2 linked regions of the Stegostoma tigrinum genome follow. The protein of the gene in region 1 purifies or fractionates together with the protein of each later gene. This does not show direct contact. Links are inferred from orthologs where the notes say so. Each region holds a gene or a part of one and is shown on either strand. Other genes may lie near its edges.

Region 1 (15,862 bases):
ATAAAGAAAATCAAAAAACCCTGTATTCACTGAGATCATTATATTTCAAGATCATTCAGGATACTTAACATTTTGTGATGTAAAAAGAACTGCAGACACAGGCAATTGATTTGTAGCCACCCATTTTGACAGATGTCCTTCCTCTCCAGCACGTTTCAAGCCAGAACATCAATCTGCAATCTTTTCTCACTCGTGCCTGCCGATTGTAGTTGTATAATTATCGACTACCTGTTCAGCATAAAATTGATGTTCTATCTTCTGTCCATCAAGGGTGTAGAATCTCTCAATTTTAACAAATGGAATCTGCCATCTATTGCCACCACAAGCTGAAGTACTTTTCACAATCGTACCAATCTATAAAAACATTTCCCTATTTCACTCATTGGAAATATATAACCAGTGACACCAAAATTCTGATCAGCTGATCTATATGCAAAGCATCGTAAAAATTAATAGCTCCATCAAGTTTTGAGAAGATTTGTAGCTCAGGTTGAGGTTCTGGAGCTGGAGCTCAGCGAGCAAACTTACATCCATTACTAGCTTTATATTCTTTGGGTCATGCAAGGGTGGGAAATTATCCATTTCTTCATCCTTAATTTTAATGTTTTATATGGCATTAAAACATTCTAGACTTCAGGATGCCTCATCACAGTATTCAAGTCTAACTTTGTAAAACTAAATAGGTGGTCTTGTCTGAGTGATCAAGCAGTTCAAATAATCAAACAAGCTCCACAGTTGCTGTCTTCTCTTTAGATATAAATTTTAAACTTTCTTTGAGGGCCTAGTATGATTAATTAGAATGGGCACACTCACTAAACAGGATTATTGACTTCAGATTAGTCCTGCCATACCCTAGTAATATGTGAACAAATATACAAGAGCCCCACAAGATTAACTCCCATTTCATTCCCATCTTATTAATACTAGATTCCTTGAATTCCACTGTACCATCCATAAGAATTTTCAATGAATCATGAAGATGCTTAAAAAGGTTCCTTTGTGATACCAACAAAACACTGTGGGATACGCTTTTAATTGAACATAACCTATTTTAGCACTATAAATGTAATTAAAAATACCACACCCTGAAAACGCCATTTCAGCCACTGTTGCACTTCTTTAGCTTTTCTTCTGCATTTGTTGCCTCTTTGGGGGTGTTACAGAAACATCTCTTAGAAATTACCACTTTGGGTAATTGGTATTTTAAATGTGATAATTCTTTCAAGTCTCACAATTACTCAGATTATCATCCAGTCCCACAGCAAATGCATTGTGTTCCTCAGGAAACATCACAAAACATGAGTACTTGAAGTACAAGGTACCTTGTTTACTTCTTTCAAATTCTCACAGTCTGTGATTTTGTAAAACTATGAACTGAACTTACTAGCTTGCCTTCTCTGATAAATACACACATTATCACGATCTATAAGTGTCTTTCTGTTCCCTGTAATCCTATTATAAAGCAAGCCTCCCAAGTAATTTTTTTCTCTCCTAAATTACCTCAGTCCTCTGAATTTTGAGACCTCAGACTTGATGAAATCCCATCTCATTACATGTAAAGTAATAAAATATATAGAAAAATTGAATTAACTGCACTTTCAAGACCAAGCATGTTGTACGATATAGAAGTCAATCTGGGATTTCATTCATTGACCGTTGCTAAGGGTTGTTTTCTCCAACCACCTAATAGAATGAAGTGCCCATTCTAGGGAGATTGTCACCTTGATGTCTGGCTGATCAACTAGCATTTTATGCAACATTTCACAGCTCACTACATGATTTCTGTCACAGTCTATTGCCGAAAGAATTTTCAACTACAATATTCATGACCATGATATTTTTACTTTCACATCTTGGAACTTGTTATTGGTAACTCCTTTCAATTGTTTGTCAGAAACTTTGCTGATGACCCATATCTGGCCCCTTTCCATATATGCATGATTTTGTCCATAATAACCCTTTTGTCTTTACCAAGAATTATTGTATTAAGATAAAACCAGGTTGTCAGGTTTACAAAATGTAGGCTCCAATTATTTCTTTGTCACACTTTTAGTTCTACGGCAATTACCTACTAAAGTCACATGCTAGTGGAAGGCTTACATTCTGTCATGGCACGTTCCTCAATAACCTTTTACAGATGTAACATCTCTCACTAATCATTGTTAGCCTTATATTCTTGGATCACATTAATCTTCTTGTGCCACGCCTCCACCTTTTAACTGGATTTTTAACTTTCGAGAATTAGGATGAGAAAGTTGCCTCTGGATCTTTAAGATAATTATCCTTTCTCTGATTATCACTTTTTGATTCCATTACTACTTGCCTAATATTCCAAGATGAAACATCATGTTTTGCTGAAGGAATACAATTGCCTGACCGAGCAGCCTGAAGATCCATTAATTTTACAGAGATTGAACAGGACAGGCCATGGAAAAGTTCAAAAACATGGATGAGAATTTTAAAATCAAGACAATGCTTGATCAAGGTAGGTCAATGAGCATATAGGTGATATATGAAAGAGACTTAGAGTAATCACAGTTGGCAGAGTTTAAATGACAAAGTTTATAGGGAATAGAATGGAGATGATTAGCCAGGTGTGCACTGGGATAATCAAGTCTGGGGGCAACAAAGCATAATCAAGGATTTCAGAAGTAAATCTATTTAGATAGGGACAAAGTCAAATGATGTTACAGAGATGGAGAAAGGTAGTCATAGTGATGGTACAAATGAACTAGGAAGCTCATCTCAGTCAGATGGGACATCAAGGTTGAGAACAGACAGCTTTAATCTTAGGGAGAGGGACGGAAGTGGCAGTCCGAAACAAAGTTTGGAATAGGGATCAAAACAGCTTCAATTTTCCCAATATTTGATTGAGGAAGTTTCTGCGCATCCAGTGCTGAATGTTGGACAAGTAATCTGAAAATTCAGTAACACTGGAGGCATTAGAAAAAAAGCTGCCATGAGGGATAACTGGATATTTGGAAATTAATGCTGTACAAGTACCAGAGAGTAATCATGCCTTGACAGTTGAACTTTTCAGCCATTTTGTAAAATGGTGATTAAGATTGTAGTTTTCTAACTGAAATTCTTTTCAAGTTCTAGCTTAATGTAACAGTTCCCTGCTACCACATTACATCCTAGAAAGGCAGTTTGTAAAAGATAAAACCAGTGCCTGTTATTAAGCACTTTAAAGCATTTAACATTACAAGTATATATCTCCTAACCTGTTGGTGAATAAAACAAACCTCAAAACTACAGTTTCAGTTGGATTCAACCATTTACCTCTTCTGAAAGGGATGCCACTAATGTATTGTAGTAAATAAAGTATTTAAAACAAAGAACCCAGGTGTGAGCATGCCCCCTAGTCAAAGAATGCCTGAAGCATACTAGTGGACATCTAGGCCTGCACGTAGCCACAGTAGACAGGCAGGTAGTTAGGCTGACTGACCCCCCTCTCATGAATCTGCAACTAATACCTACCATCTGTAATCAATAAAACATAACTAATATACAATAACCATGTCCACAGTATCTAATAAGCCTAGATTAACAAAAGAACTGTTCCTTTAACATTGCATTTCCATAACACTCCCTCTTGCACTGAACTATCATGTTAATTCAATGACCCAGCTGTGTAAATACACATAATATGCATAGAAGTTGCTTAAACCAAGCAGCACAACTTGGATTTTTCGTAATTCCTACAGCAAAACATGAAAATAACAGCAAACTGCCACTGAATATGTTCAAAACATGAGACAATTAAATGAGCAAGGTTTGTTTTTGCTAAGTCTTTGTAAGTAAGTCTTTGGTCACAATCAACTCTTTTTTGCCGTGATTGTTTGACAAGAACACTTTACATTCCTTCTCTCTTATCTTATTGTTTCCCCACCCTATTCAGACTTCAACCGAATGACTCAAGTCCCATAACTGGATACCAAAGGTTAGTACAATACAATTTTAAATTCAGAAAACAAATATCCATTCTAAACCAATGAAAAGTGCAACGCTCTGTAATAATTGGCATTTCAAAGCATAAATTTAGAGTTGAAGTTAATTGTCAGAAAACATCAGAACTTTCTGGAGGAAGAACATGACAGCAGCTCCTTCATTCACTTTTATACAGTGTAAAGATTATTAAAAGCTGATTAAATTATGTACCGTTGTATTTTAGCTAAATAATTGCAAAGTTTTCTGAATTTAGAGCATAAAAAACACTGGCTTAAAAATCTGTCAATTAAGTTTAGAGGTAGGCTTTCTATACAGATGTCATGGATTCAAGCCCGGAAGCTGAACAGAATTGATGAGTAAGTTTCGCATATTTCAGTGTCATCTTTCAGATGAGACACAATCCAAGGCCCTGTCTATCTCAAGGAAGAAAAGGGATAGTTCTCAGTGCCTCAACCAACATTCAACCCTCAACCAACAGTATTAGAACAGGTAATTTATCTAACTGCTGCTTATTAGTGGGGTCAGTTGCTTTCATTGGCTAGAGGGCCAACATGTTGTTCAGAATACCGTGCAGCTTCAATTTTCATTACAACTGAAGTTGACTAATGACCTAATGCAATATGTCCCTTAGAGTGGAAGCCAATGGCAAACCACCAATGACAGAAAGCGCCAAAAAACAGACTGGCTCACAAAGCAACAGCAATGAGCCAAGGACCTGCCATTAGGCAGAGCACGACTGGAATGGAATGGAATTCTTTTCCGGCGCTCCCCCAATCTCATGGAAATTGAATTTTTTTTGAAGAGGTAACAGAAAGGCTGGATGAGGGTAATGCTGTTGCAGTGTACGTGGACTTCCAGAAGGTACTTAACAGTGCCACACAACAGACTTGAGAAAAATTATAGATCATGGAATAAAAGGGACACTCGCAACATGGCTACAAAATTGGCTGAGTTAGGAAACAGTAAAGTTAATGGATATTTTTCAAAAGGAGGAAGGTTTGTAGCGGAGTTCCCCAGAGATTCTTACTTCTCCTGATGTGTATTGATGATCTAGATCTTGGGGTGCAGGTGACAATTTTAAAGTTTGCAGAGGACACAAAACTTGGAAGGACTTTATACTGTGAGGAGAAATGCAACAAACTAATTAGATCTCAAATGGAGTGCTGTTACAGATCTGGACAACATACTATAGGAAGGATATGAGCACATCAGAGACTGAAGCAGTTTATGAAAATGGTTTCTGGGACAGTTTTCCTCAAAGACTAAGAGATCTGACAAAGGTTTTCAAAATTGAGCTGTTTGATAGAACAGATAGAGAGAAACTGCTTTTTCTTATTAAAATACCAACTAGAGGCCACAGATTTCAAGCGATTTTAAAAAGGAACAAATGTGACAAGAAAATCTTTTTCTTGCAGGGTACAGAATGCATGCCCGGAAGTGGTGGAAGCAGGTTCAACAGAGGCAAACAAGAAGATAATAGATGTTTAGAGATAATGGGAACTGCAGACGCTGGAGAATCCAAGATAACAGAGTGCGGGACTGAATGAACACAGCAGGCCAAGCAGTATCTTAGGAGCACAAAAGCTGACGTTTCAGGCCTAGACCCTTCCTTTCTGATGAATGGTCTAGGCCCGAAACGTCAACTTTTGTGCTCCTAAGATGCTGCTTGACCGTATGTTCATCCAGCTCCACACTTTGTTATCCTGATAATAGATGATTACTCGAATAAAAATAATGAGTCTTGAGAAAAGGCACAAAATCGACAGTTTGTAATGATGCTTACTCAAAGATTCAGTGCAGACATAATGGGCTGAATGGCTCTTTCCACACTAATACTTCTTTGAATATGCACAAGTTAGCTGTCACACTTGCCTGTAGTAAATTTCCTACCATTCAAGATAATTGTGAATTACCACAGTATCCAAAAGATGTGAAAGGTGCTACACAAGTACAAGCTCTTCCCAGTACCTAAACCATACTACATTTAAGATCCTGCAAGTGGCCAACATTACTTAAATTATTAGTTGCATCTCACAATATTTTACACTTGACAATAAAAACCCCATGAAAGTATGGCCATTTAAGCTGACTGGTACAAACATATTACAGGGAGAATAAGAACTTACATTTCTAACAAAATAATCTAAAGTCATAAAGTCAATGTGTTCCTTTCACAAGGACTGGATAACACAGACTTGTTTCACACTTGCACCAAGAGGCTCAATGTTCTCATTCTTGGCAAAGCCTAAATCTGGAAGGATGTAGTTGGGTAAAGATTTCACATGCCTGTGCACCTTGAGGCAAAAAGGCACCTACAGACTGTGAGTTAACCTAACAAGGCAAACATTCATAGATTATTAAAAGATTTCATAAAAAACGCTTCTGAAACTTTACTTGCATTGGCCAGTCAAAAGAAAATACTACAGAACCCTGTCCTTGCTCACAAAGTATGTTAGCACTGAGGACTATCAACAATCTGGCTTAATCATGTCAGGTATACAAAAACTGGATGTATCAGGTAACATGCTTTAAATTGCTAAAATTTCATGCTTTCTCTCATTTCAAATTAAAACCCTGGCATCTACGAGTCAACTTGGTCCCACCCCAAAGTAATTATTGTTTTAAGGGGGAAGAAATGAAAATCAACACAAAAACAACAATGTCTCCGCATCTGTTTTAATACTGGCCCTGCTTCAATAATTCCAGTATACAACAGCATTGTTAAACACCCGAGTTTCAGTCTAGGCCGTCATAGTCAACCCACTTTAATAAACTCCAGTGGAAAATGTGTATTTCTGACCATCTGGCGCTGTAGTAACTCTCAGTAGTGAATTGTCCCGGTTATTGGGTCATGTTCACTTTTGTTGTATGCCCTCACTGATATTGCTAGCCCGAGCCCCAAAACAAGGCTCATCCTCCCCTCGTTCGGACGTACTCCCATACCGGGCCTGAACCCCCGTCAGGGGCAGGTCGCAGGAGGGGAACAGGAGGAAAAAGGGGCCGGTCAATAGGTCACAGAACAGCTTCCTGGGTCTCGGCGGTCATTTTTCAGTCAGGCTTCCCACGGTATGTGACCGACAGACCGAGGCCAGCCGCTCCGCTCACCGACCATTCGGCCCTCCCTCCTTCATTCCTTCCGCCGGCTCTGTCGGTTTGCCGGGTCGTTCCCGGCCTAGGCCTCAACGGCGTCTTCACTCAATTGGGGCCCGGCTTCCTTGCTGTCGGATCCCCGGCCCCCGAGTCCCCTTCCCAGCCGTTACCTGGCGCGGGCTGTCGGTGTCGGGCTTGAATTCGCGGACTCTGGGCAGTCGACACGAATTCGGTCACCAGGCGGAGACGGGACTGTCGGGATCCGGGAACGGCAGCCGCGCGCACGCACCAACGCGGACTCCGGCTGCGCGCACGCATACCTTACGGAGCCTGCGTGCACGTGGAGAGGACCCTTCGATCGGCGGCGCGCTCCCGGCTGGCTCACCTGTTCAATGTCGTTTAGTTATTAAACAGGTCGCACGAGCTTGTCCGTTATCCCTTAACAAACAAACAAAGCCCATTTTTTGTAGGGCACAGAGTGGAAACATATCGTGAGGCAAAGAAATGTTGGCGAATTAAATAATCTTGTCATCTGTACCAACGATGGCCGCGCGCCCCTGAGGTGCAAACATCCCACATTCCTCTCTCCAGGATCATAGCTATGGGTGTGAGGAGGGCAGATAAATACTAAGCCAACCATCACAGATCAGATCCAACCAAGACAATGGTAGTTTCACCTTGTAAGCGATACTACTTTGTTTTTGAGTTTTAAAATTTTAACACGTTTCGATGTTTACTGTAAAAAAAGTAAAATCAAATCTTAAGGCATTGTTTCTCTTCATCTGTTGTCCATTCTGCGAGAGGGACCTTGTATGCGAGGTCATTGGTTCAGAATTATGTACACTGGGACTGTCCATTCCTTTGAGTCTCAAAATTCCATCGACTGACCTTACTTGGCAGAACGTATTGTGTCTGATTCTTTCCTCCAACTATGGTAACTTGGAAACCACTGATGCAGATGGTGACAATAGGGTATGACAATGTTCAGTAGATGGCACCATCCTGCTCAGCAATATGGCGAACAGGAGGTGTATACTGAAATCTCAGAGCTGCGTGACTTTTGCGCTGGGAGGCTGGTTCTTACGATCTGCTCTTGTGTCTTTAAAAGTTGTAGCTGTTCACTCACTGACACTCTCCAACTCCCTTCATAGCTTACGTGGGAATTCATGAAACTGAGGAAGCACTTGAAAAGCACACCGTACACTGGCAAAGATGCTCCCATCTTGGTGGATCCTGACACATCTTTAAAAAACAGTACGTGTTTAGGAAAAGTGTCCTTGGCAGCTATGGGGAATTTCCTTGCAAGGAGGGAGGACAGACACAAATACATATTTAGCCTGGTAGAGATGCAGAACCTTGCATGTCACTAGAGAGGAGGTTCTGCTTGTAATTGAGGGATGAGATGTGCTCCCATATATGAGAATTTCCCGAGATGGTGCAGGGCCATTGGCTGAGAATAAAGGAGCTCATGCCGCTCACATGACCCACGATAGCTCAGAGCTATGCTCCTCCTTTGTGAGTCATATTGAGAGTGGATGCAGGAGCAAAGTGCTGGCATTGCATACGATAAATGTAATCAAAGGATCGAGGTATCTGGAGCAAATGCCTTTTATGCTGCTGTTGATGTTCTCCTCCAGATTGAGGGTGTCATAGAGAAGCATGTGCCACCCTTCACAGATGTCTTAATGATCCCTGGCCTCCTCAGCTCTTCAGACAGTGTAAGGGCCAAGTTGGACAGCTGACACCTGAAATAAAGCAGTTGAAGCAGCCTCCATGGATGCCCCTAGGGGCACGTCTATGATGCTGATGATTGCCATATATGCATCTCAGTCACACGTCAACTGCTGTCATTTCTTCTGAGGCTACAAGAGAACCTTGACTAGGATTAGCCAAGTGTGAAAACCATTGCATTACAGAAAGTACTGATTACAACACTAGGTGTTGTCTTACCATCTGTGTGCATTGTTTCCCTTTCTTATCACTTTATAAACTTGAAGGTATACATTTGAGATTCCTTTTATTGGCAACATGGTGAAAAAAGTGTAGTGAGGTGATGAAGAAACCATGAAGAGGGCAAACTCTCTGGATACCTGTACATCATTCATAATACAGTGAGTATTCATGGATGTGATTAAATGGGTGTGTTCATGCAATAACTTGAAGTGACTTGGGTCCCTTGCCTATCATTCTGGGAGAGAGGGACTTGTTTCAAAGTCCCTTAATGAAATGATCTATCACATACATGGCTTCCTAAAAAGACATTTGCATCCTGCCCATGCCTGGCCACCTCTTTATGAAGCTGAGAGTCTAAAACTGGAATACAGGCTTGGCTAGGATATGGAGGCTCAGGACCTGCACTTATGTGACTAGTTGCAGCTAGGAGCAACTGCCTGACAAATGTTCTTGGTAACTTAAATGGCATTAAGATGGTTTCTCGATACAAGTTAGCACAACAAAATGGCTTTTAGGCTGCCAACTGCTAATTCTGCTAGAGCTGCATAATGGTTTCTAGACTGCTAATTATTAATTCAGCTAGAGTTGCATGAATAACTAACCCCCAGACTGTAGCAAAGGAAGATTAGCAGACAATACGCCCTTTAGAATACAGAAGTAACGTGATAAGATAAGGAAGTACTAACCGCTCTGACTGACCTTCGGGTGCAGGTGTGGAGGGACTGTGTCGGGGGACAAAAGTGACCTAAGCATTGTGACTAAGTTGTTTACCAGTTAATATAATTGGACCAAGTAAATGCCAATGAAGCAATATCATGTATTGATAGGTAATTGTTTGAATGTACAATGCGATCATGCCTTGTACCCTGCTTTGAGAAAAGTATAAAAATGTCTTTGTATTAAGTTGTGTGTACAGCTCCTCTGACAAATATGGAAGTACTCAACTTCTGTGTTTCCGGATGCTCTGTACCCAGCCATATGAAGAAATAAAGAGTAAAGCCTTAAACAGCCAGACCAATTGTGAGTGCTCATTGATTGATCGTGGAACTGAGAGACCCTGCCAGGGGTCTAGATTTTCAAAGCCAGGAGTTTTACATCTTCTCACTCTGCCTCCACTTGCTCCTTCTGTTCAATCTCCTGTTCCTCTCCATCCGCCAACTTATTTCCAGGATCTCGTTGCCCTCAACGCCTACTGTGCTCTGGACAGCCACATCATGAAGAGTGCAACATACCATTACACATCAGCCAAAAAAATAGGTTCAGCCCTAAGACTATCCCAGTTAATATCTGGGTAATTAAAATCCTCGACTATTACTGCTTTATAATTCTCATACTTCTCTAAAATTTGATTGCGTATTTGATTCTGTATCTTTCCATGGCTGTTTTGGGGCCTCTCTTCTACACCCAACAGCATGTTTACCACTCATATTTTTTGCTTTGTTTGACAATCTACCTTTTTGGAATACTGCATTCAATTCTGGTCTCCTGGCTACAGGAACAATGTTGTGAAACTTGAAAGAGTTCAGAAAGGATTTCCAAGGATGTTGCCAGGATTGAAGGGTTTGAGTTATAGGGAGAGTCTGAATAGGCTGGGGCAGTTTTACCTGGAGCATCAGAGGCTGGGGGGTAACGTTATAGAAGTCTTTAACATCATGAGGGGCATCGATAGGTTGAATAGCCAAGGTCTTTTTCCCAGGGTAGAGGAGTCCAAAACTATAGGGTATAGGTTTAAAGTGAGTGAGGAAAGATTTAAAAGGGACCTAAGGGGCAACTTATTCAAGAAGAGGGTCGTGCATATATGGAATAAGTTGTAGAAGTGATGGTGGGTGCAATTACAAAATTTAAAAGGCATCAGCATGCGTACATGAATAAGAAGGGTTTCGAGGCAGAAAGGCTAAATGCTGGAAAATGAGTCTAGATTAATTTAGGATATCTGGTTGGTATGGATGAGTTGGACCGAAGGGTCTGTTTCCGTGCTGTACAGTTCTATGACTGTATGAGAGAAACCCCAGCAGGAGCGTATATCAAAATACCACCAATTGGTCCAGGCACTCAATGCGACTTTTAGGAGCTTAATGACCTGCTCAGTTCTTGTTCTTAGGTGCAAATGGCTTTGATTTAACCACCTCAGAATCTTTATCTGAGGGTCTCTTAGAGGGATGAGTAGCCATTCCTTCAATGGACTTTGGGGTTGGAATGAAGATTTCTAGCAACCTGCATTGTAAGAAGGAATCACATCAATGGAAGTAGTTCACATGAAAGCAGTTAGTGATGTTCTTCACCTGGGAGGAAGTGAGCAATAGTGGGTCTGTACTCTGTGTTGGTGCTAGGCTGCAACTGTCATGAAATCCCTGCACTCACTCTCAGAAAAAGGACATCAGTGATCTTCTGATGCAGCGATGTATCGCCACTTGAGATGGCACTGATGTCTGCAGCAGATCCTTGGAAACAGCCAGAGGTGAAGAAGTTCAAAACCTAGAGTGACTTTTAAAGGGTATGGTGACCAGTGTTGTGAGATTCAAGATGTTTGATGATGAGGGAATGAATGTTTGTGACCAACTGCCAGGAGAGTTAGGATCTCTTGTTGCACTGGGGTCAGGCAACCTCTTTTTTTGGTGGTAGATCTATATGGAAGGCATGGCATCTTTACAATTCTTAAACCTTGTATCTGTCCTTTGCCCTCTAGATGCCAAGGTCTCTGCCCATCTTGTGGAAGCTTTGCACTTCACAGCCTGGCCATCCAAATTTCAAGTCCCATGCCCCTATTGGCAGTTGCTGCTTTTCTTGTGTTTAGCTGAATGCTGATTGTCTACGGTTGCTTTGTGCCCTGCTGTTTTTCAACCACTCAACACACTCCCTACCCAAATGCCCAAATGTCAGGAGAGTGATGACCCTCTTCATTGTCCAATTGCTGACTGCCCACTCTCTGCCACCTGCACTGTTATTGGGCACCTGACTCCCAGTGGCCCAAGCCTGCTCTGCACCATTGAAATGTTTATTGTGCCAGTGTAATTTATGGGCAGCCACAATTGGATTCTCAAACTTGTGTCCATTTAATTTTGCCTAGCCTGCCCCAAACAGCACATGCTCTTATTAAAAGATTTCCAAGTATGTTAATTGGCCCTAATTGGAAATTGGGTAGGATCATCATTCTCCCATCCTGGTGAACATGCTCAGTGTGAGATTAGCATTCATAAAGTTAGTATTTTAGGGCCATGTCTACTCTATTTCCACTTTGGCAAGGCCCAACGATTCACCTCTGATGTGTACAAGTACAGCCCCATTTTTGTTTTAACAGCCTGTAAACCCCTTCCAACAGTCTGGGACCTTTGTGCTGATATCAAGATTGTGACAGGTATGAAAGGAGAGTATTCAATACAGGACCTGTCAGATTGTTGGTCACCCTTAGAAAATCTCTGGTAAATTTCTCTCTGATCCCGGATTTATTCAAACAAGTTTTGGAAGACTATACAAAATTTCAAGGAACTGTGGGTGCTGGAAATCAGAAAAAAAAGATATTTCTGGAAAAACTCAGCAGGTCTAGTTCTGAAGCAGGTCACTGGATCCAAAATATTAACCCTGCTTTCTCTCCACAGATGCTGCCGGACCTGCTGAGCTTGTTCAACAATTTCTGTTTCATTTAAGAAGACTATCTTGACTGGAAAACACATACCACATTGTTTTCACTCATCCACCCACTTTCTCTAACCACTATCTTCTCTCTCATTGGACTTAAAGAAGATTCCATCGCACTATTTCAAAGAAAAGCAGGGGAGTTTGCACGTTCTCCCCGTATCTGCATGGGTTTCCTCCGGGTACTCCGGTTTCCTCCCACAGTCCAAAGATGTGCACGCTAGGTGGATTGGCCATGCTAAATTGCCCGTAGTGTTCAGGGGAGCAGGGGTTATAGGCGGATGGGTCTGGGTCTGGGTCTGGGTGGGATGTTTCAAGGGGCGGTGTGGACTTGTTGGGCCGAAGGGCCTGTTTCCACACTGTAGGGAATCTAATCTAATCTAATCAAAATTATCCTCAGTATCTTGGTCAGAATCAACATCAAACTTTATCTTTCCTTTTGTTTTGCTGTTTATGTATAGTAGGATTATGATCCTACCCAATTTCTAATTAGGGCCAACTGAGATTTCCCAAGTTACAATGGTGTCTATACTTTGGAAGTGCCTCATTGGATGAAAAGTGCTTAAAATGTCTGTTTATCATGAAAGGCACTATATAAATGCAAGCATTTCTGTAGGTGAGTTAATTCAACAGTTTACTTATGTTTCTTGATTCTCCCCCAAACAAGCTAAGTCATACAATTTATCCTTAAGACCTCAATTTAATTACATCAAAATTCCAATAACCCTCATCTTTTTTCAAGAGTATATTTCCTCAGCTCTCTAAATCTGCTGTCACTATATAAAAGCCTTTTATAGTAATTATCAAAAAAATTAATTATTCTCAATTTATTTCAGGGTCTGTGCATCACTGTGTGAGGGGAAAATTTGGACAAAACCTTCTAAATGCAGATTAAGCAAAAGTTTTATATAAAGATGAAATTGTGATTTTTGATTTATATTTATTAAATTGATTTACTGCATCACCATACAGCACCACAACAAATACTAAGTATCACCCATTCTGTTCAATTTTAGAAAATTGCAGCCACATTTGTTAGTTTCGGATTCATTATCTGAATTCAATTCCTGAACGAAAAAAAAGTTACCTTTTCTGCAAAATGTTTACTGAATTTCACAAATAAAAACAAGGAAGAAAATTATTTCAGAAAATTTTAAAATAGTGTGGGAAAAAATGACAGTTAGAGGTTGCAACGCTTGTTGATTATGGTTTTGTGTTTGAAACAACGTAAGTGCTTCTAATTCTTTCCTGGTCACTTGATATTATTTATGTAATCCATTCTTCTGGTAATTGTTACCTTTTTCTTGTGTAGAGTAAAATCTTCATTCTCCAACATGGGTGGTTCTGATTAATTAAAATGCTAATTGAGAGTTACGTTTATAGAAGGAATACAGAATAATACTTGCGTCATAAACTTTCCAAGCCTAAAGTATCAGATAATATGCATGAAGTAAAGAACAGAGTTCATTTTACTTCTAATCTTCAACTGCATATTAAAATGTAAAGTATTAAAGTACTGTTTATAGGTATCCAAGCAGAATTAATCTTCAGCATCTTCTACAACTGTCGATTAAGATGAGAAGGTGTAAGAGAAAGGGGCCTACTACAAGCCCTGGATGATTTATTGCTTATAATCCCAAATGTCGGGTTGCCAATTTGCCTTCTGCCTTTTTCTACATAAAAGTAGAGTGCAGAATGAGCAACTGCATAACCACTTATGCAGAATAAGTCTACCTTTCAGCAAATGTAATCAATGTATCAAAAGCTAAAGTAGCATTAGCTAAGTAATTTTCACCTCTTCAATGAAATCTTCAATCTCTTTTGGTTTTCAAGTATTCACAACATACTCAATTATTTTCATATCATTAACAATATGTGTCTTGTCAGCCTTCTTGACGGCTTTAACCCAATCTGCCTCACTTTTGTGATATTTGCTGATTGCTTGTGTAAAAGGAATATCAATAACCATTTCGGTAATTTTGGATAATGTAATTTGTTCTAAGTCTTACATTAAATACAACAAATTTTCTTTATGAGAAGAGCCTTCCACAAATACAGCACTGGGTAACAATTGTTTTCAAGCTGTCCTTAGTACTGTATTTTTCACTGATTTCGAAGCACATGCCATGTTGAAAATTGCAGCTGAATTTTATATTTTTTTTCGGCTAAGTACAAATTGCGTAGAATTTTTAGAAGATTTTTCACTATGAGGCATAGCATGCTGTCTCACCATACTTTGCAGTGCACACCGATTAACTACCTATACTGCCCCTATCGTGTCACTCAACTCCAATTCCAGCCCCATCCTATCATGGTTGTTCCCAGAACCAATTCATCACTCAGCAGGTATTATATATACGTTAGGCCGAAAGACTGACATCCTTTGTGGCTGCACCATCTTTGACAGGCGATTTCTCACCCAAACAAACATTAACAATTTAGTGTTGCCACAGACTGGCAATGTAATGGTACAGCAGCTGCACAGCCATGCTGCTCACAGCACATGGCCAGTATGGCTGGCACTACCTTCCACCTGAAACCTCATTTTCTCACCCCAGTTGCATTTTAACCATGACATCACACACTTTAATTGTCCATAGTTATACTTGTCAGAATATCCTCTAAGTCTGTGCACCCTTCTCCCAATGCTCACTTTAGATTTGCAGCTTGTGATTGTCCAGGCGGGGAGTAACATACACTTGGAAGCAGTTGGACAAATGCAGACATGAGCTTTTATTTACAGAAAGTGAAAGCAAAAGCAAACAAAAACCAGGGACGCTGGCATTCTCTCCCACAGTTCAAAATACATTTTGGTATCATGAGCGTCAGATGTTGTGCAGTCCACAATTGTCAGCTGCACCCAGCTGTCTTTGACTGGAACTGTGGTCAATGAAGGTTGGTCTGGCTCATAGTGCTGGACGCAGTTGAGCTCTGTAATGGACTAGGACAAGTTCCTCCTCTGCAATGTCTTTGTCCTCCTTGGAAGACTGCTTCTATGATCCTGGATCCTCAGCATTCAGTGCATTGCCTGGATGCTTGTACCAATTATACAGCGCATAGCCCTTTAGGATTTTGCAGCACAATCTGTCCAACTATACTGGAATGCCCTCCCAGACTGTTTAAATAACAGAACTGCATCTTCAGCAATCCAATATGTTCTTCCACCACAGCCCTTGTTGAGACATGGGCAGCATTATATCTATGCTTTGCATTAGTCAGAATATTAATGAAGCAA
Region 2 (15,349 bases), on another chromosome or scaffold:
AAAATTGCCCCCTATTTTTGAACTCCCCCACCCTAGGGAAAAGACTTTTGCTCTGCACCTTATTTATGCCCCTCATGGTTTTATAAATAGTTATCTATCTTGCTTCCACAACCCTTAATGTCTGCTCAGCAAGAAAAAAATCTATCCTTCACAAATTTGGTGGAGTAGTACAGAATTATAATGAACAATGATAATTTTTAAAATAACTCCCATTACAACATAAGCAAGTAGTACAAGTAAAAGTGTCAAGTATCCTTTCACTTGTTTATGCAAAGTGGATGTTACTGACTAGGCCAGCATTTATAAGACGCTGACGGGAGTTATGCATGGGCCCCCTAACAGTAATCAGAAAATAAAATCAGGAGAAAGAAAAGGCACTATTACAATAATCATGAGGGACTTCAATGTGCAGGCAAACTGGGAAAAATCAGCTTGGTAGTGTATCCCAAGAAAAAGAATTTGTGAAATGTCTACATGACGACTTTTTGGAGCAGCCTGAGGTAGAACCCACTAGGAAATGGGAAATTATGGATTTAGTGATGAGGCAGACTTGATTAGGGGGCTGAAGGTGAATAAACCTCTTGGGGGCAGTGACCACAACATGATAAAATTCACTCTGCAGTTTGCCAGGCAGAAGCTGGAATCAGATGTAATGGTATTAACAGTTGAGTAGAGCTAGCTAAAGACATGAGGGGAGCCTGGGAAAGATGGTGGAACAGCAAATGACAGATTCTGAAGATAATTCAGGAGGCACAGCTGAAATTCACCCCAAGGAAGAAGAAACATACTGAGGGGAAAACAAGGCAACCATGGCTGTCAAGGGATATCAAGATAACATAAAAGAAAACATACAATGTGGCGAAGATTAGTGGGAAGCCTTTAAATACCAGTGGAGGACAACTGAAAAGCAATAAGGGGGATTCGGGGATGATGAAATAACTGGCTAAGTAAGCTGGCTAATAATATGAAAGACAACTGTAATTTTTGTAGGATATCTAAGATAGCAAGAATGGACATTGGACCGCTGCACAATGAGACTAGAAACATAGTTATGAGGACCAAAAATGGCAGAGAAACTGAACAGGGACTTTGCATCATTTTTCACAGCGGAAGACACCAACAGTATACCAGAACTTTTAAGGTCAGTTAGGGGGCAGAGATAAGTGCAGTGGCCATTAGTAGGGAGAAGATGCTAGAAAAGATGAAAGGTCTGAAGGCAGATAAATCACCTAGACTGGAAGGACTATGCCCCAGGATTCTGAGGGCATTTCTGATGATCTTTCAGTAATCACTGGAGTCAAGGAGGGTCCTGGAGGACTGAAAAATTGCTAACATTGCAACTGTTTAAAAAGGTAGGGAGGCAGAAGACAAGAAATTATAGGCCAGTTAGCCGGAGGTCAGTCGTTGGTGAGATTTAAGAGTCCGTTATTCGGGATGTGATTGCAGAGAACTTGAAAGTGCATGGTACAATGTGGTTGAGTCAGCACAGCTCTGACATAAGATTGAGGATCTAACAAGCAAGTTAGACAAAGGAGAGCCAGTGGATGTAACCTATTTGGATTTCCAGAACACCTGTGACAAAGCACTGCACAGGAAGCTGCTAAATTAGTCAGTAGTGTTTGGGGCAAGGTGTTAACATTGGTGTGGATGACTGGCAGAAGGCAGTGAGTGGGGAGGAAAGGGTCTTTTTCAGAATGGCTGCTGGTATTAGTGGAGTTCCACAGGGCTCGGTGCTTGGACCACAACTAATTATGTTATGCATTAATGATCTGCATGAAGGAGCTGAGGGTATTGTTGCTGAATCTGCAGATGCCACTATGATAGGTGGAGGGACAGGCAGTGTTGAGGAAGTGGGGAGACTGCAGAAGGACTTGGACTGGCTAGGAGACTTGACAAAGAAATGGAAGATGAAATACAAAGTGTGAGGTTATGGACTTGGGTGAGAAGAATAGAAGCACAAGTCTACTTTCTAAATGGTGAACGTGCTTCAGAAATCTGATACACAAAAGGGACTTAGGAGTCCTAGTTCAGAATTTTCTGATGGTTAACCTTTGGCTCATTTGACAGTTAGGAAGACAAATGCAACGTGAGCATTCATTTCAACGGGACTGGAATGCAAGAGCAGAGATAGACTGAGGCTGTATAAGGCCCTGGGCAGACTACATTTGGAATATGGTGAGCAGTTTGGGCCCCATATCTGAGGAAGGATGTGCTAGCTTTAGAGGGGTCGAGAAGATATTTACAAGAATGATGCTGGAGCTCAAGAGCTTATCATGTGAAGAGTGGTTGATTACTCTGTACATAATCCTAACAGGTCTGTACTCAATGGAATTTAGAAGAATGAGGGGGAAATCTCATTGAAATTTGCAGAATACTGACAGATCTAGATACAGTGGACGTGGAAAAGATGTTTCCACTACTAGATGAGATTAAGACCCAACGGCACAGCCTCAGGGTGAATGGAAAACCTTTTAAAACTATGAAGAGATTTTTTTTCAGTCAGAGGGTGGTGAATCTGTGGAACTTATTGCTGCACAAGGCTATGCAGGTCAAGTCTTTGAGTGCCTTTAAGATTTAAATAGATAGGTTCTTTATTAGTAAAAAGAGGATCAAGGGTTACAGGCAGAAAGCAGGGGAATGGGGCAGAAAAGCACATCAGCCATGAACAAATGGCAGAGCAGACCCGATGGGCCAAATGGCCTAATTCTGCTTCCACTGCATATTGCCCATTCCTTATTGCCCTGGAGAGTGATCCCGAGTTACTTTCTTGAAAAACTGCAGCCTGCTGGTTGTAGGCACATCCATAGCACTGTACAGTTTTAATATGAATGCAAATCAAAACATCTGCTAGCCAAATGCCCAAGATGACATATCAGTATTTAAACAAGTGAATTTGATTTTTTGTAGTACTTAAGAATAATTAAGATAGACTTCCTATAAGGAATTACTTGCTTTGCCATATTATGGTTTAATATTTTATACTCAACAGGCTTTTTAATCTAATGTATCTTTATGAAAAAGTCTTTTTTTTGATTCTTACTGAGTAGAGAGAAAGTGGAGAGTCTGTTTTAGCTCTGTAGTGATGCAATTTACAGATCAATTAGTAAAACATCCACAAAAACAATCCACTGCAAGTCTCCTTTCGATCTTCTGGCTCATTAAGACAAATTAGGGTACTTGGACATTGGCTGATGTCAGAAACACTGTCTAAACATAATCACACTACTTTTGTGCCGAAGTGATTTCACTTTGTTATACTACACGACGCATTACTCCCTTGAATACACGACAAATTATTCATGTACTTTATTTAAAAAGAATCTTTACAATTGACAAATCAGAAAACAAACCTACCTTTATTTCATAGTTTTTGAAGAAAACATTTGCCTTAAAATAGTAGATTGCTTCATCAATGACATCAGTGTCTTTAGCTGGAAAAGATCATTATTGATAACCAAATCTTAAATCCTTAAGCATAACAAAAAATTAACAGTTTGAATTTGTTGTCCCCAGTTGGGAGATAGAGTCATAATTACAGAAGTCAATAACACAGAAAGCAGCCCTTGGGCCCACAGAGTCAAAAAGCACCACCACCTAAATATTCCAACCACATTTTCTTCACAGATACTGCCAGACCTGAACTTTTCCCGCAACTTCTGCTTTTGTTTGTGATTTACAGCATCCGCAGTTCTTTTAGTTTTTACCTTTTGGATCAAAATGTTTTTCTTCTCCTTTGCTCTAAACTTCCTGTCTCTTATGTCTAATCTACGGCCTCTTGTCATCGATTCCTCTCTCTCCTCCCCTCACCCCACACCACACCAAATGAGTTTACTCCTTGATTAAACTTCAAAGTTGACCCATTCAGGTAGTCATTTCAATCATCAATTAAGTCTTCTTTCTACAGGCAACTATGTTCCAATCAAAACAAAAAGCGTGTCCTCTTGGTTTTAACTAGAATGCAGTGTCTGGCCTCCTTGGCTGAAAACCCACAACTAATCTAATATGCACCTTGTTTCATTAACTGTTGCAAATTACATAATTTTAGCTTATATTACATTTGACTTAGAATGTAAAACAACATTTAGACTGTCACGCTGGCATGCTTTCTTTGGCCATCAGGTGGACGGTACAAAAAAGAAACAAGCTTCAGCAAATTTTTCACCTCCTTCCAACCCCATACATGACTAACCTTAGGAGAAACAAGGGCAGTGGATGTGTGGGAATATCCCCACCTGTAAGCTCCCCTCTAAAACACACAAGTTTCTCGTTGGAACTATATCAGAATTCTTTCATCGCTGCTGGTTCAAAATCCTGGAATTCCCTCCCTAACAGCATCATTGCTATATCAATATACCACGTATTGCAAACGTTCAGAAAGGCAGCACAGCAGCACCTTCTCAAGGGCACTTAGAAATCGGTAATAAGTGCTGGCCTAGCCATTGATACCCACATTCCATGAAAGTTTTTTTTAAGAAATCTTATCTTCCTATGACATTTAAAAAGTATAATTGCACTTTCCCTCGCTATTCTCTCAAGCTTTCTTCACCCAGCAGAAGGATTCAAAACGAGGAACCAGAGTTCTAAGGTAAGGAGCAGAAGTTTTAAAGGGGTTTGCAAAATTCCACCCAACCCCAAACTGGGTTCTGGATATTTCGTACTCACTGCCCAAAAAGGGTAGCAGAGGTAGGAACCCTCAACTCATTTACAAACTATTTAGACAAGCAGTTGAAATGCCATATAGCATGCAAGGCTACTGACCAAGTAATGGAACATTACAATAAATGATATTTGATGAAGGTCATGGACATGGTAGGCCTCGGAGCCTCTTTCCATGCTCTCAAACCTGAATGACAGTACAACCTACACCAACACGTCGACTAACAGCGCTCTTAAATACAGTTACCAGGCCAAAGAGTGACCAAAAGTAACATTATAAAAAGAAATACTACTTTTTGAAACTTCAGTATCTTTCCAGAGAACCTAGCTGATGTTTGCGGGTGCAAGTTGCATGCTGCATGTGTTGAACTAGAATTTTTGAATGCATTCAACAATTCAATTGGAGTATTTTTCAATACACTAGCCATGCACTACATGTGGCTAATCAGAAATCCAGCTGTGGAAAACTGCTTTTGACAAGGCAAATTTTAATCAATAGAGTAACACATGGTCAAACTGCCTCTGCATTTGGTACTTAAATCAAAACAAGAGCAGGAGTACATTTAGCCTTTACTCCCCTTGTTACCAAATGATAGTAGATATGATAAAATAAATATACCCATGCAAGGTACATTTCCCAAAGCAGTAATTTACATCACAACCACACTGCTGTATGGAAATGTGTCTATTTGTAAACTAAAAAGTGTGCTTTTTCCCTGGCACCAAGATTTTTTTTGAAAGAACTTTCTACAATTATTAACTGGTTTAAATTACAAAACTAACACTTAAACTGTTTCCCTATGCATAACTGTACAAACTGATGCAAGTGTTGTATAATTCAGTTTTCATAAAATCAATCTCAAAACTTACTTTCCTTAGGAGCTGGTCCTTTAAATTGTGTTTTAAGCGGCAATAATGCCATGTTTCCAATCAGTTTTACATCACTATCCATAAGGGTTGAATGATAAGCCTGAGAGAGAAAAAGTACAATTAGAAATGCTGTCCTTCCCTAGTATACCGACTCAACTGGCATATTTCTGTCAAATATATTCCTGATTTTAAGATTGTATTCGTAGGTGATTAAGATCAATACTACAGACCACAACTTCCAGTAAAACGGATGCAGGATGCTCCATGAAGGTTAGCATCAAATAACATCATTGAATTAAAGTAATTCACTTCATTAAGCTAAAGGTGACAAAATACACAGTTCTCTCAACCGTACATTTTTGGACCAAAGACACAAATATTTTTTCTTAATAATCTTGCTTAGGCCCAAACGGCCTACTTCCTGATTTTTCACATCCACTCTGATTTTTCAGTTAACTTCCATCAAATAACATGAGTTTAGGATGCTCCGATACAGGAAGGTGTTGGGGGATTAAATAAAAACCCTTCAAGAAACTTACCGGCATTTTACAACCTGCAACTGAACAAGCGCCCAGAATAAATTGGTTCTGCTTCGGTCACTCTCAGCTCTTCCGCCAGTCCCACCCTGTCGGTGACGAGCGCGGCGTCAGGCGGCGGTGCGGGAGTGAGCACGGCGAACGCTATTCCCACGTGACACGAGATAGAACCTGGCGAAGGATCCTCTGATGAAGGGTCTAGGCCCGAAAGTCAGCTTTTGTGCTCCTTAGATGCTGCTTGGCCTGTTGTGTTCATCCCGCCTCACGTTTTATTATCTTATGAAGGATCTGCACGTTTTACTGGAGGATTTTTTCCCCCCCGACCCTTCCCCATCCGGGGGGGGGGGGGGGGGGGTCAGTTCAGGACTGCAGTTCTCAATTTACTGATTCAACTTTCACTGGAGTATTGCAACTAATTCTGGGCCCCACACAGTAGGACCTATCAGAGGATACAGGAAGGATTCAGAAGACGAGTCACAGGCATGAAGGACTCTGGGATGTATGTGAGAAGTTGGAGAGTTGTTGTCCTTGACGAAGCATAGAGGTGATCAAGGTCAGAAATCTCATCACATCAAGTTATAGGCCAACAATTTGAAAACATAAGCTTTCAGAGTCGAAAACATGGTATAAAAACAATAAATGGTACTGTATTAAACACCAACAAGCCACGACCAGTTCTCACTGGTCTTACTATACACAGACAAAGAAGGACATGAATTCGACTAGGACAACACATCCATAATAGCACATGCCAAACAGAAACAAGCCATGGAATTTCTGGAGGCTTAGCATTCCAACCAGAACTCCATCAACAAACATGAACTGGACCTGATATACAAACTACTGAGAAACACAACGGAAGTGATGCCAACGGAAGCATATAAATAACACGCAGGACACAATACTGACACTTCATTGGAGGTACATTGATGTTACCTAGCAGGGTGACAAAACATCTGCAAACACACCAACTTAGTGAGCAAGTCTACAACCTCGTCTACAACCTCATCCACAAACCAAGCTACAAATCTTCTCAAAAACAAGTCTGTCCTTTTCTGTGAGATGACAAGGTGTAGAGCTGGATGAACACAGCAGACCAAGCAGCATCAGAGGAGCAGGAAGGCTGATGTTTCAGGCGTAGACCCTTTGTGAGGAAGGATCTAGGCCCTAAACGTCAGCCTTCATGCTTCTCTGATGCTGCTTGGCCTGCTGTGTTCATCCAGCTCTACACCTTGTTATCTCAGATTCTCCAGCATCTGCAGTTCCTACCATCTCTATTCTTTTTCCATCACTAACACAATAGAATTATGGTCACTGGCCCCAAACAGCCTCCCCCACTGACACATCAGTCACCTGCCTGGCCTTATTTCCCAAGAGTAGGTCAAGATTTGCACCTTCTCTGCTAGGTACATCCACATAATCAGAAAATTTTCTTGTATATGCTTAAATTCCTCTCCATCCAAGCCCTTAACATTATGGCAGTCCCTATCTCTGTTTGAAAAGAGAAAATCCTCTACCATAACCACCCTTCAACTAAAATGAAAGTTCTCCTAAATAAAAGAAATTCAAGGGCAGCATGGTGGCTCACAGCATCAGAGACCCAGGTTCAATTCTAGCATTGGGCAACATTCTGTACAAACTCCACACATTCTCCATCTGTGTGCATAGGTTTCCTCCCACAGTTCAAAGATGTGCAGGTTAGGTGGATTAGCCATGGGAAATACAGGGTTAGTCTGGATGGGATGCTCTTTGGAGAGTCAGTGTGGACTTGTTGGGCTGCATGGCCTGTTTGTACACTGTAGAGATTCAATTAATTTATACACCTTTAGTCAATCTGCAAATTCCAACCTTATCAGAATATATTAGTCTAATTAATGATATCTCCAGTCCTAGGTACATGTTTTCATTCACCCAGACAGGGATTGCTTCATGTTATGCTAGCCTGATACTGTTGACCTCAACCCTTCTCTATTTATTCTAACCCCCATCCCAGAAGGTGAGGGTTGTTCCTCCAGGTCGTGTTGAGCTTCGCTGGAGGACTGCAGCAGGTCTGAAACAGAAATGTTGGCATGGGAACACAGTGGCACGTTGAAGTGTCAAATCACTGGAAGGTTGGAGTCATTTTTGTATACAGAATTTCATAAAGCAGTCACCCAGTCTGTTTTGTCTACACAATATAGAGGATTGTGAACAGCCAATACAGTGACTACATTGAATGAAGTGCAGGTAAGTCACCGCTTCACTTGGAAGATGTGTCTGAGGCTTTGCAGTGAGGAGGTAAACAGTCAAGTGTTGTACCTTGTTTGAACGGGTGCCATGGAGTTGTTTTGGGAGTCAAGCAGGGCATTCTGGAGGAAACGATGCCTACAAAATGCTGACAAAGAAGGGGAGGGAAATACAAGTCTGGTGGTGGCATCCCACTGGAGGTGCCGTATATGGCAGTATATGATCCTTTGGATGCAGACTAGTAGGGTGGAAAAGTGAGGATGGAGGAGTGCTGGCAAATGGACTGGATATCCCTATTAATAAGTCACTTAAGACTTACTAATTGCTTGTTGCACTTGCGTTGTAAGACAAATAATGTGTGGACCTTAAGTGGAGACTATTTGATTACAGGAGTAAAGTCACAGTTGTATAAAACCTTTAACTCCTCAAATGGAATATCGTGTACAGATTTGGTCTCATTACCTGCCATACAAGGAGTGAATGAAAGATTCACCAAATAAATCCCCAGGATAATGGAACTGCCTTATAAAGTTAAGATTGTGGGTCTCTATTCCCTAAAGTTTCAAAGATTGAGGAGTGACCTCATTTGAAACTTACAAAATTCTTACAGCGTGTGATCAGGTGGATGTGGAGGCTTAGGCTGGGAGCACCATATTAGTTTAAAGAGGTATGCCACTTAAGACCAAGATGAGATGAATTTCACGATGAGGGTGATGAGAATCTTTGGAATGCTGTGTCCCAGAGTGCAGTGTGTGTTCAAATGAGAAATCAATTTGGAGACTAAATTTCACAAGGGATATAGAGATAGTACAGGAACATGACAGAGGGATGGGTAATCACCCAGTCAAAATAATGGGATGGCAGAGAAGGCTTAACAACACACCTGTTCCTATGTTTGCCTGCCTGACACGTGGTAAGCTGATAGGCCTTTCCCAGCAGAAGCAGGATGGGATCCTTAACTGGGCATTAAAGGACTACAATTGGCCCACCATGGTGCAAGTCAGCAGATTGTCTCCCCACCACTAGTAAAATTATAATGATGACAAGTGAGTCGGCAACAACTATGACACCTATTGGACTTTGTGTTCTCATGCCTTCAAATCCACTAACTGTGTTACATCCAGTGCACAGATCATGTCTTGAATTATATACAGATGAAATGCCATCTGAATAAATTGAATCAACACTTAACTTTTATGGTCTCTCCAGGGAACTGTTCCCTAGACAAGCCACTGACCGACATTATTCTTGCGGATTCATTTTGCATTTACCATTCCACCGTTTAAACAAAGCATGTTCTCTAGTTCTGTATCAACAGCTTGATTTGAAATTAAAACATCATAACTGACATCACCACTGACACATACTGCTTTAAAAGTGAAAATTAAAAAAAACAGCAGTGCAATGGGTCACTGAAATAATGCGATAATGTGACCATTCTTGGTAAAAAGGCTGCAAAGATACTAAGTATGTTATAAGGTTAATCCCTCTGTTAACCCTATGATAGTCCCTATAATGTTAATCAATGGCATTACAATACTAAATCATTCCTTTCACAAATCCACTTTGATAATCTTTAGTGATTTTATTTCTATCCAAGTGGTCCATATTCTCTCTTTAGGGAGGCTTTGTATAATTTTATACTCGTGACAAATTCACAACTTACCTTCATGCAGTCACAAACAACTTGCCACTACACAATGATTTCTGGAAGATTTATGCCAGAATTTCTGTAATTTTCTCTTTAATTCTTTAAAAGATTTTCAAATGCATTTTACCCAACTCAAGTTCAAGTTTCCACACCTATTAGACAACCATGCTAGTAGTAATATGAATGGTGATGAGAAACATTGTCTCTTTCCTTACCCACTTCACTTTCCAGATAATTTTAGTTTTATTTAAACCTCAAAAAGGAGACAGCCAAGGCAAATAACATATTTAGCATCTTTGCAGCCTTTGTATCAAGAGTTGTCACATTATCACATTATTTCAGTGACCCATTGCACTGCTGTTTTTGATTTCCACTTTTAAAACAGGATGTGTCAGTGGTGATATCAGCAACTCAGCCTCCCAAAATACAGGCTTATGGCTATGAATCCAGGATACTACCCAAAAACAGTGAACAAAAACAAAATTGCCAGAAAAGCTCATCAGGTATGAAAGCATCTGTGAGGAAAAAGAGAGTGTTAAAACTCCAAATTAATATTTACTTTGAATTTTAAATTTGCTTTGAGAGCCAATGTTAACAGGCATATATTTTCCCCTAAATTCAGCCATTAATCTTCCCATTTTGAATATCTTCAAAAATGGAGACGATTTTAATAAACATTGTAAACATAATCTTTACTTCTGAATAAGATTTCATAGTACTTTTGTTGAATGTGTTTTAGAAACATCATTTAATAACTTTTGAATCCAACACTTCCTTCTTTCTGTACAATTTTTCTTAATTTCTGCAAAACTGGATATTTTGAGTTAAGCTGTCCTCTGGATTGTAAATTGCTATTGTGCAATAATAAAGTTCATCCAGGATGTTAAACAAAGTTATGAGATGCATCCAGTATATTCACATTATTTTGAGCCATTAGCCAGGAGACAATTGTATTTTCTATTCTGCTGAAAGCATGTGGAGTTTGCTTTAAGAGAAGCATGGAAGGAGAGGGGAAGGGAGGGGGAAGAAGGAAGAGGTAAAGCGGTAATGATGAGAATGTCTCCTGTTAACATTCAACTGTCAGTCAACTTCTTCCTTTCCCTGGGCGACGACAATAGATTTTGAGTAAGCACAGACACTGGATAGTGGAATAGGATGTACTGATAGTTAGTGTAGTTTAGCTGGATGTAAGGGATTTTGATTTCTGGCTTTTTCTTTTAACTCCTTTGAAGAAAATGTTGAAAACCATGCTCCTTTGGTTCATTAATCATATTTTGCCTACCTATTTTGCATGTTAAACAATACTTTCCACTGTATCTCAGCACATGACGATAATAAATCAAATCAAGACGCATGTCAAAGAATTCATGAAATTACAGTTCCCTAATCCTTTGAAAATATTGGTTTATACAGTTTAAAAAAAACACTCCAGAACTACAACTACCCAAACAAAACTCTGATTCAACTGTTTATGGATTCTTAAAGGTGGCAGTTGGCTTTAATAACCATGATCTTTCACACTGCTGTAGTTAATAAGTTCTTCAAACTATGTTCATTGCCATGAAGCGGAAATGCCAGTATTGGACTGGGTCAGAAGTCTCATGACACCAGGTTATAGTCCAACATGTTGATTTGAAACCACCAACTTTTGGAGCACTTTTAAAAAACAAAATAGCTGGTGATTTCAAATAAACATGTTCGACTATAACCTGCTGTCATGTGACATCTGACAATGTTTATCACAGGAGCCACCAAATTTAAACTTTAATCACGTTGTTGACATCATTACTTTCATTTATTCCTCTGTATAATCATTTCTTACATAAAACACTCGGACACACAAAGCAGAAGACTAACCATGCTTTCTTCTCATGGCACTTCAAAGCCATCCTGTTTATATTAAAAAGTCTTGCTCTAAGATAAAAGGAAGTTTGCTCATTAATCCTTAGCTCTTCAGGGCATCCAACAGCATCTTATTACATTCAGTTTCAGACTCTGAATTGCATCAAATTGAGGTCTTGCAGGTTTAGCTTCATTCCAAATTATAGTTAGTTGATGATTAATGTAATTTTTTTTAATATAAAAGATTGTAAATACTTGAACAAATGGCACGTGTGTGCAGTATGTGTACTAAGTCAGAAACCTAATATTAGATTTTCAAATCAACAGGGTTTGAGATAGAAAGATTTGCATTTTGATTGTTAAAAAAAATTGAAAAGGACTCCCTCTTTCTACCTTATTCACCTTTCCCATTTATTTCCCAGATCATTTCTCAGCTCACTGTTCAAGAAAGCACTTACAATTCATGGAACTTGCATCAACCCAGGAGACTCACCTGTGTAAAATGGAAAAAAAAAGCTTTCTGCAATCCAGCCAAGGTTGAGACACATAACCTCAGATGCCCATCCATCAGGCTGGAACACAAGACTATGCAGAGTAATTACATTTTTTTTGTTTTTTTTAAATTTAACCCATTGTTCTAGTCAACCTGTTCAGATGTTAATACACAAGTCAGGAGCAAAATCCATACCTCTCAAATAAGGGTAGGCACACTATTGCTGCACCACCGTGGGGGGCTCATTATATGAACATCGCAAAATTTCTTATTGTAAAATTTGTTTCAGGTATAACAAAATAATAAATTTATTCTACATTTTTACACTTGAAACAAACTAATACTTCCTTTTAGACGACTGTCAAAAGGCTAGTGCTAGGTGGTGGTGATGCTATGTTTGAAACCTGTTGCATGAACTGAGGCATCAAATTAAGCTTTTATTTTCACACAGTACAAGTTAAAAATTATTTGCAAATTAAACTGTGTGAAGCTATGAAAGTGGGACTAGGCTAATCAACACTTGTAGCCCCTTTCAATATTCAAATCAGTCACTGCTAATCTCTACCATAAATACACTTAGTCAAAAGTGATACACATATCCTTTGATAGCCTGTTTAAAGCCTGGGGTTAGACTAATTTTTAAGTTTGACTTAACTTTCTACAAATGTAGTCACAATCTTCACACAGTTGGATTTATTTTTGGCTTAGTTCACTTCTTAAGCTCTTGCTTGAGAAGCTTAATAGGTATTTGTATGCAACTTACGGAATAAAATCACATTACGTTGGTCTCTATTAAATGTGTAACAAATGCCAGGTGGTTGTCAGGTTGGGGGAATAGTTTCAGGTGTAAATATTTTGGAAAATGCTTTCATAAATTTTCCAAAGAGATGACCACTTCAGGGTATTTGTTCAACTTCTTGATGACATGGATGGCAACTTCCTCTTGAAATAGCACAAACATGGAGACCATATCTTAGCTACCTTCAACTCTCTGGATCATCATGGATTAAAGCCAGAACATTTTGCATGACAACAGCAGCCTCAAGTCTACTCCAGCTGCAAGTCCTTGATTTTGTGGTAGGCACAGGATTTTGTGGCACAGCTGTATTCTGCAGCAAACATCACCATGAAGACAGAATGAAGGAAGCTCAAATCCATTAAACAAACTGACTTGAATTATATCTGGCACAAAAGAAAGACTGTTATGGCTGCTGAAAGTCCATCTTTTCAGCCGCATATTATAGGAGGTCCCCACAGAAGTATCCTCGACCTGAAAATTCTTGACTGCTTCACAACCAGCTTTTCCTCCATCATAAAGTTACAAGGGAGGACTTTTCTGATGACTGCCCAGTATTCAGGTTTGGGCTGTTAACAGTCAAAACATTCAATTGAGTGCCAGACAATGATGATGACTGATATTCCAACCATCTCTTGACATTAAACAGTATTGCCATCTCTGAATCCGCCAGCATCAACATCCAGGGGGTCACCCACTGACCACAAACTTAAAAACTAGACAGATACATAAATATTGTTACGGCGAGAGGAAGTCAGAGACTGGAAACTCAGCAAATATCTCACCTCCTCAGAGCCTGTCCAGCACTTGCAACAAACAAGTCAAGACATATAATGGAATACTCTTCACTTTCCTGGATGACTGAACCCCAACAACTACGTGGTTAACCTTTATGAAGGACAAAGCCTGCTTGACCAGCACTCCCTACCACCTCAGATGACTGTGGATCCAGTATCTAATATTCACATGTATTGCAGCAATTCATCAAGGCTCCAATGATATCCTCACCTAAACATGATATCTCTGGACACCCAGAAGGACAAAGGCAGCAGTCAAGCAGAGGACCATCATCTCAAGGCAAAACACCAATTTGAGTTGAAAGTACACTTCTATTCCTTCATTTCCACTGGGTCAATATTTGGAACTCCCTTCCTAACAGCACTGAGTGTATCCCTAACTCCACAGATTAAAACAGATTAAGAAGTCAGCTCACTACCATTTTCCCCATGGTGATTAAAGATGAGCAATAAATAATGGTCTAACCAGCGATGCTCACATTCCATGAATTATTAAGAGAAATATCATTTAAGCTTTTCCATCATTCAGTAGTAATATTTGCCTTCCAAAGTGAAATTTATTAAAAACTGTAGACTGTAAAATTCCTAACAATTACCCATTTTATTGGCTGTCAAAATGAAATTACCCTAACATACTTAGAAAAACAGTTCGTACATTTTCTGCTTTTGAGTAAGCAACAAAGTGGAAACCTATCCTTTTCGTAGTTTGTAGCAAATAATATTTTTAAAAGGTGCAGGCCTTTAGAGTTGCTACTTGAAATAAAATAAAGTTCCCAACATTTTGCTGAATATCAACAAAATGTTTTTGATACCTTAAATAGAACAAGTACCCTCAGGGGTTGGAGTTTTGTGTTAAGTTAACTGCACATATTATTTAGCAAGCTCAAACATTACTATTTTCTTTCAATGTACAAATCAGTTTAAGGTTTTGAGCTTTTATCCACACAATATGGTGTAAATAAGTTGCGTTCCAAACAAGATTCCTAAATTTCCTCATATTAGGAATTGTTGGAAAGTCAGAGTGTTGGGAGGATCCAAGTAGAAGGCTTCTGAAAACACCAAAATGTTTAACTGGACCAAACATTCAGCCATGTCTGGGAACTTCAGTCTGCCACCGAACCTTGGAAAAACTGCTCACTTGCACTGGGGTCTTCAGTGCTGTCTTCTTGTTCCTGTAAGAAAAGGACACAATGGTAAAATTTGCAAGCAAGTTCTGAAAACCTCATGAGAAAAAACAAACCCAAAAAGAACTGCAGATGCTGGAAATTAGAAATAAAAACAGAAATTGCAGGAAAAGCTCAGTAGGTTTGACAGTATCTGTGGAGAGATAGCAGGGTTAATGGGGAGTCCAGTGACTCTTCTTCAGAACAGTTCTGAAGAAGGTCACTGAACCCAAAATGTTAAGATAATAAAATGTGAGGCTGGATGAACACAGCAGGCCAAGCAGCATCTCAGGAGCACAAAAGCTGACGTTTCAGGCCT

The links.
Region 2: the proteins of actin-related protein 2/3 complex subunit 1A-B (region 1) and arpc3 purify together in Homo sapiens (affinity purification with mass spectrometry; 8 studies listed by BioGRID and IntAct, counting the BioPlex papers as one, with this or other methods). This does not show direct contact. The link is inferred for Stegostoma tigrinum from reciprocal best matches to the Homo sapiens genes ARPC1A and ARPC3.

What each region holds. Positions count from the first base shown.
Region 1 is NC_081376.1:12,147,920-12,163,781, reverse strand, and holds the start of actin-related protein 2/3 complex subunit 1A-B, read right to left. Parts: upstream 7,346-15,862; 5' UTR 7,212-7,345; intron 1-7,211. UniProt on the Homo sapiens protein: Probably functions as a component of the Arp2/3 complex which is involved in regulation of actin polymerization and together with an activating nucleation-promoting factor (NPF) mediates the formation of branched actin networks.
Region 2 is NC_081379.1:24,230,645-24,245,993, reverse strand, and holds the start of arpc3 (actin-related protein 2/3 complex subunit 3), read right to left. Parts: upstream 6,201-15,349; 5' UTR 6,072-6,200; coding exon 6,066-6,071; intron 5,627-6,065; coding exon 5,527-5,626; intron 3,432-5,526; coding exon 3,355-3,431; intron 1-3,354. Other genes in the region: gpn3 (GPN-loop GTPase 3), read right to left, coding at 14,971-15,039. UniProt on the Homo sapiens protein: Component of the Arp2/3 complex, a multiprotein complex that mediates actin polymerization upon stimulation by nucleation-promoting factor (NPF).